Linked DNA regions of Saccharomyces cerevisiae S288C. The gene in region 3 interacts genetically with the main gene of each other region. Each region holds a gene or a part of one and is shown on either strand. Other genes may lie near its edges.

What was found.
Region 1: of GIS4 (region 3) and GIS1, extra expression of one rescues a mutant of the other (dosage rescue), as found in Saccharomyces cerevisiae (one study listed by BioGRID).
Region 2: of GIS4 (region 3) and SGE1, extra expression of one rescues a mutant of the other (dosage rescue), as found in Saccharomyces cerevisiae (one study listed by BioGRID).

The regions. Positions count from the first base shown.
Region 1 is NC_001136.10:635,254-639,014, reverse strand, and holds the start of GIS1 (histone demethylase GIS1), read right to left. Parts: upstream 1,877-3,761; coding exon 1-1,876. Other genes in the region: aminophospholipid-translocating P4-type ATPase DNF2, read right to left, coding at 2,895-3,761. UniProt on the Saccharomyces cerevisiae protein: Transcription factor involved in the regulation of gene expression upon nutrient starvation. Recognizes and binds to the post-diauxic-shift element 5'-T[AT]AGGGAT-3' in the promoter region.
Region 2 is NC_001148.4:932,001-935,761, reverse strand, and holds SGE1 (Sge1p), read right to left. Parts: upstream 1,729-3,761; coding exon 97-1,728; downstream 1-96. Other genes in the region: YPR196W (putative maltose-responsive transcription factor), read right to left, coding at 2,974-3,761. UniProt on the Saccharomyces cerevisiae protein: Drug export permease. Multi-copy suppressor of loss-of-function mutation of GAL11. Involved specifically in transcription of GAL4-dependent genes. Can link GAL4 with the basal transcription machinery if GAL11 is missing.
Region 3 is NC_001145.3:256,326-260,086, forward strand, and holds the start of GIS4 (Gis4p), read right to left. Parts: upstream 2,092-3,761; coding exon 1-2,091.

The DNA.
Region 1 (3,761 bases), on a different chromosome or scaffold from region 3:
CCGTAGTCACACCGTTAGAATAGCTGTTGCTACCGTTGCTACCATTACCACTGTTGTTGTTCATCATATTGCCATTATATGAGGTGTGGCCGTTCGGATTCATTGGTGACGACAGCGGCGGTAACGTCAATCTTGGTGACGCAGTAGCGCTGTTAGCCAGTGTCGCTAAACTTAAAGCTAACATATTGTCATCGTTATCGCCGCCTAGACCTGAAGTCCCATTTAAAGTGGACGAATGCATCATTGAAGAAGGCACAGTGGAAACGTTATTATTACTACTACTATTATTAGCGCTATTATTGGTACTGCTAATGTTATTATTGATAGATGCGGCTGCAGAGGTGTTAATGCCATTGGCGTTAACATTATTGTGGTTTTGGCTGCCATTTGTAGTTGTCGATGGGTTGGTTGATGTAGCCGTTATATTAGATAGTAAGGAGTTTGTATTAGTTAGAGAAGGGGTGCCAAAATTACTAGAATTAGACGGAATATTCATCTGCGGTAATTGCGGAGTTAAAACTTTCCTTTTGAACTTGGAACCCGGATCATCCAAAGTGGGTTCCACAATATTTGATAAGTCCATCATCCTTGATAACAACGGGGAAGAAATTCTGCTTATGGTAGTTTGATTCATGTTCAGGAACTGGTTTACACCATTAGGGGTAGTAGACCGAAGAGAACTACTTTGCGGTCTGTTCATATTAATATTGGAGAACAAGGGGTTCTTATTGTCTTCTAAATTTTGTAACTCTTGAGAGGAATGGTTTAGTAATTCATCAAAACTTCGAACTTTTTGAAATAAATCGTTATCATTATCAGTAATGGAGCCTCGTTGCTCCGACTCATTAGAATCATAAGATAAATTTGAAAACGGACCAGATTTTCGCTCTTCCTTCTTGTTTCCACAGCCGCATTTTAAAGGTTGCTTTCTAACGACAGCTTGCTGATCTAATATGAACTCAATAGATTCGCCAAAATTGTAACCATAATTGAATCCGGAGTACATGCAATAAGGGAAAGTAATGATGAATTCATGTTGGAACTGCACCACTCTATTAAATTTTATATTATTTTTTCGCAAGAAATCGGGAGAAGTTATGATGTTTTGATGTCTAATAAAAGCTGGACAATTTTCCTTATTACTTGATGGTTCCTTTGATAAAATTTTCAAAAATTGGTCTGTGTTTGCGGACGGTATGGAATACCATTGTTTGGGAGCACCGAAATGCAAGTAGTTTATAGAGCATTTATTCTGTTCGTCCAAATGCCATGGAAAAATGCATTTAGACTGACCAGTAAGTAACCGTCTGTTACTTGAGTTTATAGAATCTGGCAAATTATTCAAATTCCATAAAGTTAAATCATAGGGGAAAATTGAAGAGTTTTCGTCCACTGCATAAAAAGGTTTCGAAAAAGCGATGGTTTTCCAAAAATCACTTTCTAAAATTTGTAACTGTGCCAAATCATAACAATCCTGCTGACTATCTACGCGGCAATTTTCCTTTAAAGTTTTATCATTAAAATCACCTTGACTTATTCGAGAGTCTAGACTTTCGGCCAAGTTCTTCCACTGTGTTAAATTGTACGACTTATTGTCATACTCGTTTTCGATGCTAAATACACCGTTTTCATGTTTGTCCCATCGCTTGGCTTGTTGTTGAATCGGGGAGTCTAGTTGTATAGTCTTTAAACTTTCCGCAGGAGGTGAGCCTTCTAAAAGCTCCAGCCATTCTTTGGGAGGAATGACTTTGACAATACCATTTTCTATTCCGAATTTAGTAATTTCATCAATGAAATATTGGAAATTTGCAAACTCCATCATAGACGGCTTAAAAACCGGAACGCCATCAATAACCTCAACTGGCTTGATTTCCATTGTAGTCTGTTTTTGTAGCTATTCTTCAAATTAAAAAAAAAAAATTACAACGATGTTGTTCACTTTGTAGAAGCAAATACTTTTTAAACGCCCAACAAAGAAACAAATAGTGAAAAAAATTGAAAATTGGAAAAAATTGGGAAATGGAGGTTAATGATGAACAGAAAGGAAAAACGATGAAATATGTGGTGGGCAAAGAGTTTCTGTAAGCAAGAGACTTAGCGAAACAAAAAAAAAATACAACTGGCCAAACGTATTATTACTTGGCTATTTTCTTCCTAACAGACCAACTTCTTTTGCCTTCTGTATGGCGGGAGGAGGAGGGGGGAGGTTTTCTTCTTGTTTTTTCCGTTAACTTTTTCCCGATATGCGTAGAAGGATAATAATTTCAAATACACAACTCACACACGCGTTTGTACTTCTACCTCAACACAAACGATAAACGTTAAAAACTTCTCTTCAGTAAGTAGTGGTAATAATCCTAAACAGAGAGAAAATACTGTTTTCTTTTTCGGTTTGCTATTTTTACCTTTCCTTTCCTTTCTCTTTGGTGAAAAACCGGATCGGATGTAAACGTAAATGCCAATTCAAGGGACCTGTAAGACAAGAGAATGCGAAGCGGTAATAGTGGCAGTTGTAACCATTTTCTAGTCTTTCTCCGTAAAGTAGTTACTTGCCACAATGCCGCCATAGTGCGGAAAACAACGAAATATAATTCCTTGAAGCACAAAACGCCACCCCTTCCCCTTGCCCTTGCCCTTGCGGACGCCCTTTCCCCTCAAAATTTTTTTCATATTACGTCTCCGGCTTCGCTCTCTTACTCTTGGCGCCGGGCGGACCCCGGCAGGAAGGGGAGAACCCAGCCCCTTCCTACTCAAGGCTCTGCGCGGCGTTTTCTCCACACCCCACAGGGCGGGGTAGAGCCGTGCCGGGTGATACACATCATCACATCCTATATGAAATCTATATCATATCACATTGGTATACATAGTACAAAGGAAGAAAAAAATTGTAATCATTAACGGTCCCTGCTGCGCTGGCTGAGCAGCGTCTCTGCATGATTGATACCCGGCAGATCCAGCGAGGCACGTGCTCTTTCCACGGAGTATCTTGTGTCCAGTTGGTGGTTGGCAAGCATCTCTTCTCTTGTGCGATCCAGCGAAGTTCTGAGCTTATTTCCGCGGGCACTGGCCATTGATCTTCTAGGCAAGTTGTTCGTTGTTGTAACGGGGCTGAGCTGGTCACGGCGTTCCAGAGTGGTAGAGACACGGTACCCCTTGCGCGAGCCTTGCTCACCATTGAGTATACTCATTGGTATTTCCTCTGTGACTATGGTCTCTTGTGAGTGGCTGACACCATCAAAATGAGTGTCCAGTGAAATGGGCTCTTTGAAATCTGTAAGGGGACGTATTTCGTTTATTCTGGGCCTGCTAGGGTCCGTAGGGTCGTAGCCTTGTGGGTAGAGGTCAAAATCACCGCGTAACCACATTTCTCTAACGATCTCTATATCTTTCGGATAGAATATCTTTCTGATACAGTCAATGGTGAATCTTGGCAGTAGGCAGAACAGCACGCCAACGAAAAGTACTGCCCAATAGGCAGGTTGTGCGAATACACGCGCCGCACCCTTGTAAAATTCGTTACTTGACGACGAGCTTGTCCATATACCCGTCCAGCCGTAAAACACGGCCAGTGATAGACATATGAATAGGCCACAGAACCAGTCCCATCTATACTGTTCCATGAAGACGTAAAAGTTACATGAAGTGACTGCAATTGCTGTAACGAAGACACCGACAAAGTAACGGTGGTCTAGTCCAAGGCCATTTTCAGTTACAACCATGTTTTTATGGTACGCCAAATAGGGGAAAAAGAAGCATATCAC
Region 2 (3,761 bases), on a different chromosome or scaffold from region 3:
AATAATGAAAGACAAACCATCTGATGTTAGATAATATATAAGTACTGTCTAGTTTTATCGAACTACGATAAGTTAATTTATACGTTGGAAAATTGTTCATTGTTGCTTTTTGGCTGATATTGTTGTTTTCTTACTCGAAGTGAATATTCCAAAGAAGAATGAAAGAGCATAGCATCCTAAGGCGCAGTAAAAAACGTCATGGATAGCTGTGTTTATGAACTTTGATAGTGAAGATTGGGGGCCATCATAATGTTCTGTGCTATACGCTAAAAGTGTTTCTACAGACGTAAATTGTGGTATGTTTAATTGGGAAGAGCGCATCTGGTTTTTGAGTGATGCAGTGAATATCATTGCCCCCATATTCCCTCCAAACGCAAAGCCCAAGGATTTGGCGAACGAGTTGAAAGCTGTGACTTCAATAAACTTGTTTTGAAAGTCTGGATCGTCTGATGTTATCTGCACCTGGGAGCTTAATAACGTTGCTTGGAAAATACTACCAAAAGCTATTCCTGGGAGAATTGAATAACCTATTGACTGAGAGAGTTCGCCATTGATTAGCGTAAATAAACCAGATCCAACAATCCCACAAAGCACACCAAAAACAATTGCCGGTTTGATGATGCCATATTTTGAATTTAGATATGCTATGGCCATAGTTGCAATCATAGCTGGAATTGATAGTTCCCAAAGATGTATACTCGCTAATGTAGGCTTTTTTTTAAATACTAGTTGATAAAGCTGGACTAAATAAGCAGACTGTAATTCATAAGCAAAGCAAGAAAGGAATCCTGTTATGGAGCTTGTAAATATGCCACAATTTGAGGCAATATTCCATGTCAGTAACGGTTTGATCCGCTTGTTGTCATAGTGAAGCCCCGATAATGACAGAAAATGAAAGTCGTAAGCACAAAATAGTAACAATAAGATAGGGCCCACGGTAAAAAAGCAAATAATGATACCCGAATTCCATGGGAAGTTGTTTCCACCAAATGAAAGACCTAACATCAGTAGTGTAAAGCCTGCTGAAGATAAAATAATCCCAACCATGTCTAGTTTAAATACAAGTACTTCAAATGTATTCTTCCAAAAACTTGCTTTCAATAATTCGCCATAGTCATAGTTCATAATTTTTTTGATTTTTGATGGTAGCCACATTTTTTGATGTGGTTCTCCAGATGTGTTACAAAATGCCAATATTATGAACGCAAACGCACCGATTGGAAGATTTATATAAAAGCACCATCTCCAAGACAAATGTTCATTAAATGCACCACCAATAAAAGGCCCGACTCCCTCTGCAATGACATACGATATAGCGAGTGCCGTTATCATAATTCCTCTATGGTTTTCTCGGACAATGGATGTTCCAACTACAAAAGCAAGTGATTCAATTCCACTTCCTCCAAACCCAGCAACGACTCTTCCGCTAATCAGAGTCGCCATTGAATTCGAAAGAGCAGAAATCAAAGACCCTATTTCAAATACAATAACAGAAATCATTAAGCACTCCTTTGTACCAAGTATTTCGGCCAAGCGACCCCATAATAACATGAAAACAGCATTAGAAAGAGCATATCCAGTAACTAACCAACCAATATTGCCGAAGTCATGGAACTTAATGCCAATTGTATCATATAAAGTAACCACTATAACAATATCCAAGGCCGCCAGAAAAAGGGTTAATAGAAGCGATATAACACATAAAGTTAAACTCAAAGTACTCTTCATTGCATATATGTCTGACGGTGAAGCTTATGTGTTGTACAAACAGATGAGCATGATCATGAGATTTAAACTTCTATTTAAAGTAGTTCCAAGATGTCATTTCTTTTTACGAAGCGCAGCCGTTTATCAACCATTCTAACTAAGCCGCTTTTCGATAGAAAAATAAACGGACCGATAGCTTAATTTACATTAACAATATTGCATATTCGAGTTTCGATTAATAGTGCTTTTTTTCATTGGTTAATGCAGTTTTATAATTTATTGTATAGTAACGTTCTTTTAGAAATACAGTTTTGTTAAAGCTTCTTCACTTCTTCACACGAAATAAAGCTCGTCTATGTTTTGTTAAATAAAACTTGAGAAACGAGTAAACTTCTAGATAGTTTTCGGATTCTATTTTTGTAAAGCTATTGATATTATGCATATATCATATACTAGAAATTTTCTTTACGGGTTTGAACAATTCGCAGAATGAAGCAAGTAATATTTTTACAATGTTTTGTGAATATTACTCACCATCTTCGTTTAACATCTTGAAAAAATAAACAAATTCTATTTCAAAAGTAAGATCGTAGTGTACATGGTCCTCTTCCTTAATCTTTTTTGTTATATTTTGCAAAAACAATGTATTGTGTTTATGAACAAAGGTAAAAAGATAATATTAATGAAGGTTGAATACGGGTCCAAGACTAATATAATAGAGGTAAAAACATGCTGATTGGTTTATTATTAATCATGACCAATATGATGGTAATTCCCGTAGTTTCATATATTTAATGTGACGACTCATATTGCTTTAATACAAAATTTTCATGTCATGCTCAATTAACAGATTCTTAACTCATATCCAGTACTTTCTAAACTACTTATTTACGTTTAGCTTTGCTGTGGTTCTTTTATACTTAATCATATAAGATACATGCATCTAGATTGCCACTATATAGCAGCACATGTTACAGTTAACTATCGATTGTCCAAAATATTTTGAATGAGCTATTGATTCAGGCAATCTAAAGGATTCAAAGACTAATGTAGCCAACATGGGCTTTGTATAGCGCCAAATTGCACAAATTATGTGGTTGAAAACAATTTCTTCAGATTAGTAAACCAGATCTATATTTAATGCCTTGGTACCCATTTATAAAAAAAATAAAGTATAATGAAATTTTCTCAATGAAAACGCAAAAGTTCATTTGAGGAAAATCATCAGGTCACAAGATGTTGAAACTGTAAGAAGATAAAGTTCATTTAGGGAATAATGTCGACTTCATCCTTGGAATCATCATTTAGGCGCAGTGGTCTAGAGATAGGCAAATCGATTAGAGCACTCTGACATTTAGTTGAAAACCTTTGAAACATTTTATGATTGCAATGTTTCAGGGAGAAAACGAACTTAGATACATCGCACAAAATATTCCAAGCCTCCAACTTCATATTGTGATCATACTTACTTACGACGTCTACCAATGCATTGGCTATTTCTAGCGCCTTCATTGGTATCACAGGACCATGCACATCATATAGGTCGATTGGAGTTAAAAGTGTATCCTGTAACATATCCTTGGCTATTTCGACTGGAATGTGTGTGGCGTTAGTATTCGAAAAAAAATTCATCCGCATATCCTTCTTATTTAGTACCAACTTCCATGCTAGAGTCCTGACCCAGTGCCGAGAAAAGAGATAGTCTATGTATCCGTAAGAGTATGGCTCTATATCAAGTGAGCTTATGTGAAGTTCATTCCATATCCTTTTTAGAGAGTCTTCAGTATAGGAACCATTAACACTGTTGGTAGCTAAGGCATCGTAAAAGTATTTCCCAGGAACAGTGAATACTTTAATCACCTCAAGAAAACTATCCAAAGAAAGTCGGGAATCAGTTACGATTTCGGGTTGTGGTGGAGATATAGTGGTATCCAAACTTGTTACACATTTAATGTATACGGCATAGTACCTCTCTGTCATGAGAAGCAGATAGTAAACCTTTCTTATAAGTTGTTGCTCACCAAATGGAAGAAACTCATAAGTTTCTTCCCGAT
Region 3 (3,761 bases):
ATTACTTTCATTGTTACCCTTGGAATTAGGTTTGTGAGAATTTTTTGTCTTCAAAGAATGGCTAAAATTCGAGGAAGTCGTATTAGAGTTCGACAGTTGTGTCATTGGATGAGGTTCACTTGATAAAACTGTACTTTCACCTGTTTTAGAGTTATCCAACTCGTTACTATTACTTTTATCGATTTTTGTAACAGAATTATGTCTATTGAATGCCCATTCCCCGATACTGTTTACGGTTCTAATAGAACGATGTGCTGTAGTAACGTTAGATTCCATTCTAGTTGGTATGTACATTTGTGGGCCTGACTGTTCTGATAAAGAAGCATCGTCACCATCGTCTTCATCGTCTTCATCGTCAATATAGTCGTTGTAACCGTTATTATATGCAGTCGGGAAATATTGTTGCGGGTCGTTAGTTAATGATAACTCAGAATCTAGAGGTTGCTCTTTTGATATTCCTTCCCTATTATCATAATTGGGATTTTTGAATTCTTCTTCAACCTGTTTGCCGGAGTTTGTCACAATAACCATTGTGTAAAATAAAATTTTTGGAAATGATCTCTTGATATCTAGCAAATCTTGAAGTGTTAGAATTTGTAAATTATTCATTGAAAAATTGGAATCATACAGCAACCAATCATCGGTAACGCTTGCCATTGTAGGTTTATTGTTTGACTGTCTAATCGCAGTAAAAATTTCTTTGGTGTCTGGATCCTGAATTAATATAGATTGCAAAACTAGCCTAAAATACCCTAGAGAATCACAAATTGAGATTGACGGTAGAATGGATAGTACTGAGTAATCGGAAGAAGAAAGATCTTCATCATCATAAACCTCTTCTCCATCGTCCTCTCCTGATCCATACCCTTGGGCGTCATAGTTATGATGAATTAAATTATCCTCCTCCTCTGGGGTTGTCGAAGTAGTTAAATTGTCTATAGAACTCGTTATACTTGACAATTCAGAGACATAGGTGGCATTCGTGTGATCGATGTTTTCACGTTTTGGATTACCTCGGCTGCTACTGCTTAAACTGTAGTGGGCACTACTACTATTACTGCTACTACTATAGCTAGTGTAGCTGACCGAACTTTCCATGCTATAACTTGCTTGATCGATACTCTCGTCACCTAGATCATGTGAGACTCTGCTATAATGATCCTCAACTTCATCCTGACCACTTTCATCCTCGCGCCTGGCAGTAGTTAAACTCAGGTCTTGTCCGGGATATGTGGATGATACGTCTTCGCCAGCAAAACTATCTATTGACATTATCTCGGAATGTGACGGTGTATAGTCTTCATTAGTGTATGATGGAAAAATTTTGGGTAGTCTATTAGGCTTTGAATCTACTGTTCGCGAATGAGAAAAATTTAGGACTATAGAACTTGTGGCATCCTCTTCATCAACTTCGTTTTCATTATCTTGAGGCGTATCATTATTATTGCTTTGACTATTCACGGATGTAACGTTTATATCAACTGTGTCCGGAGATGTCAAAGTCCTCGTATTCGTATTAGTTCGGGTAGCTGTTGAAGTCTGGGTATTTATATTTGACCACTGATCATCCGAAACGTTTGATTCTAGCTTCCCGTTTGAAGCTTTTGATGAAGATATTGTGGGTGGTGGTATTGAATTTCTATTGTTATTGTTTAAAGCCTTGGAATTTTTTTGAACTTGCCAACTTGTACTCGCAAATTCTAAAAAGGTAGGGTCTTGGAAATTGTTGAGGTTGTCCGTCAATAGGTAATGATTTTCATGATTGTAGCAGTGGGAGTGAGTTAATTTTGAGATTTGAATGTGTTCTAATTTTTCCAGATGAAAGTAATCTTTGAGGAAGATTTCCAATATGGAGATATCTTCATGAACATTCTCTGGGATGGAAACTAACAAAATCTTCTTGTTTGGCCTGGCCGAAATATTGTTATCACCATAAAAATGACTATTCAGAAATCTTTTTAACAGAGTGTATTTTAATTGATTGCCTATAAGTTCTTCAAAATCGCCTAATCTGAGGTTTGTTAAGTACCACGACCACAAACCATTGTCATCATTGTCAAAATAGTCGCCCACTCTAACGGATTTTTGCATTATATTTAAGTAACAGAGTGCTTTTTGATGGTTTTTGTTAACCGTCTTTCGAGCAGTTGAAGGATGAGAGTGAGTGTTAATGAGGGGTTATTTCTGCAAAACTTCTGCCGATATATTCTGCACTTAGTTCCCGCTGTTGTTCAGCCTTCACGTTCCTTAGCTACACAAGTCAGTTAAATCTGGTCCTGCCAAAGTGAATAAGTTGAAGATATTTATCTAGCTTGCGATGGAAAAAACTACAATAGGAAAAAAACTAATTAAAAAAAGAAAAAAAAAGAGAAGAATTCAATGTTTAGGGATATAAATTCGATATAAAGGTTTAAAGTAAATAAATTTCGTGTATTACTATGCAAGTAATGTTTCTGCCTGCACCGGCTTCGTAGCTGGTGGAGTGCGATAGCGATGATACTACCTGAAAACACAGAGGAAGGCCGTCAGCCCCGCGCTAGGAACGATGAGGAGAAACCAGTTGGCGAATCGCCACATGCCATTTACGTAAAAGATGCTGTGTAACCTAACAGAAATAATCGATGGTGTGAACTAAAGTCCTAGGATGCACATAAGCAAGCGAAAAAGTGAAAACAACATTTCCAGAGCTAAAAAAATGCATTTGCCGATCCGAAATAATCTCAAAACGAAAAAATGATTATGGACGTAAACAAAATTACCGCATTTCGCTCTCCTATTATCATAACAAGCATGAGCGCAAAACTTAAAAATCCATCAAGAGGCAAAAAATAACGACAACTGCAGGACTCGAACCTGCGCGGGCAAAGCCCAAAAGATTTCTAATCTTTCGCCTTAACCACTCGGCCAAGTTGCCATACTAACTTGATTATTTGTGTATTCTGTTTTCTTGTGATTCCTTCTGGTTACATAATTACATTGTCTATATTCATATTTGATTCTAACAGCAGGTAATATTGGTCTATCGGCTACTCGTTCAAAAAATTAAAATCGTTATCAATTATATTCCATAGTATAGGTTGTTAAAAGATGGAATTAATTAAAGTAGAGTAGTAGAACAGGGATCACAGTGTTATTAGATTTTGGAGCAACTGATGTGTGTGAGTAATATATAAGGATGAATCGAATGAAAGTATTATGAGAAAAGGAATCATCGTTGTGTAAAGTTGTTCATTTCGTATTTCTGGGTACTGTGAATGAGATGAACTTGCTGATAATCGTTGGCATACTATTATTTGGAACGGTAATATTTTTGCGAATACAAAGTATACTGTAGTTTTTCCCCGAGGATTTACGAACCCACGAGAAGTGATCAATATTTCTACACAGTAGCATTATGATCTCTCTTTATTCGCTTATGTGTCGCCATTCACTACCCTATCATAATTCGGATCCTTGTGTTTCAGCTCCCATTAAGTTTGACGACCGTTCGTCATTTATTTATATTCTTACACCGTACACGATAATATACTTATGCGAACTCTAGTCGGTCGATGGTGATTAATTTTCATTTCAATATTTACTTATATCGGCGATAAGTCTTAAGCATGGAATTTATAGTCATTCTGTCACCCCTCCGAAACAGAAATGAATTTGTAAATGTATTCACTAAGTTTAGCCGTTTTAGACATTTGAATGTCGTTCGTCATCAGCGCGGCCAATATTGTTTACATGAAGAAAATGTTGTTAATATAGGCACTCTA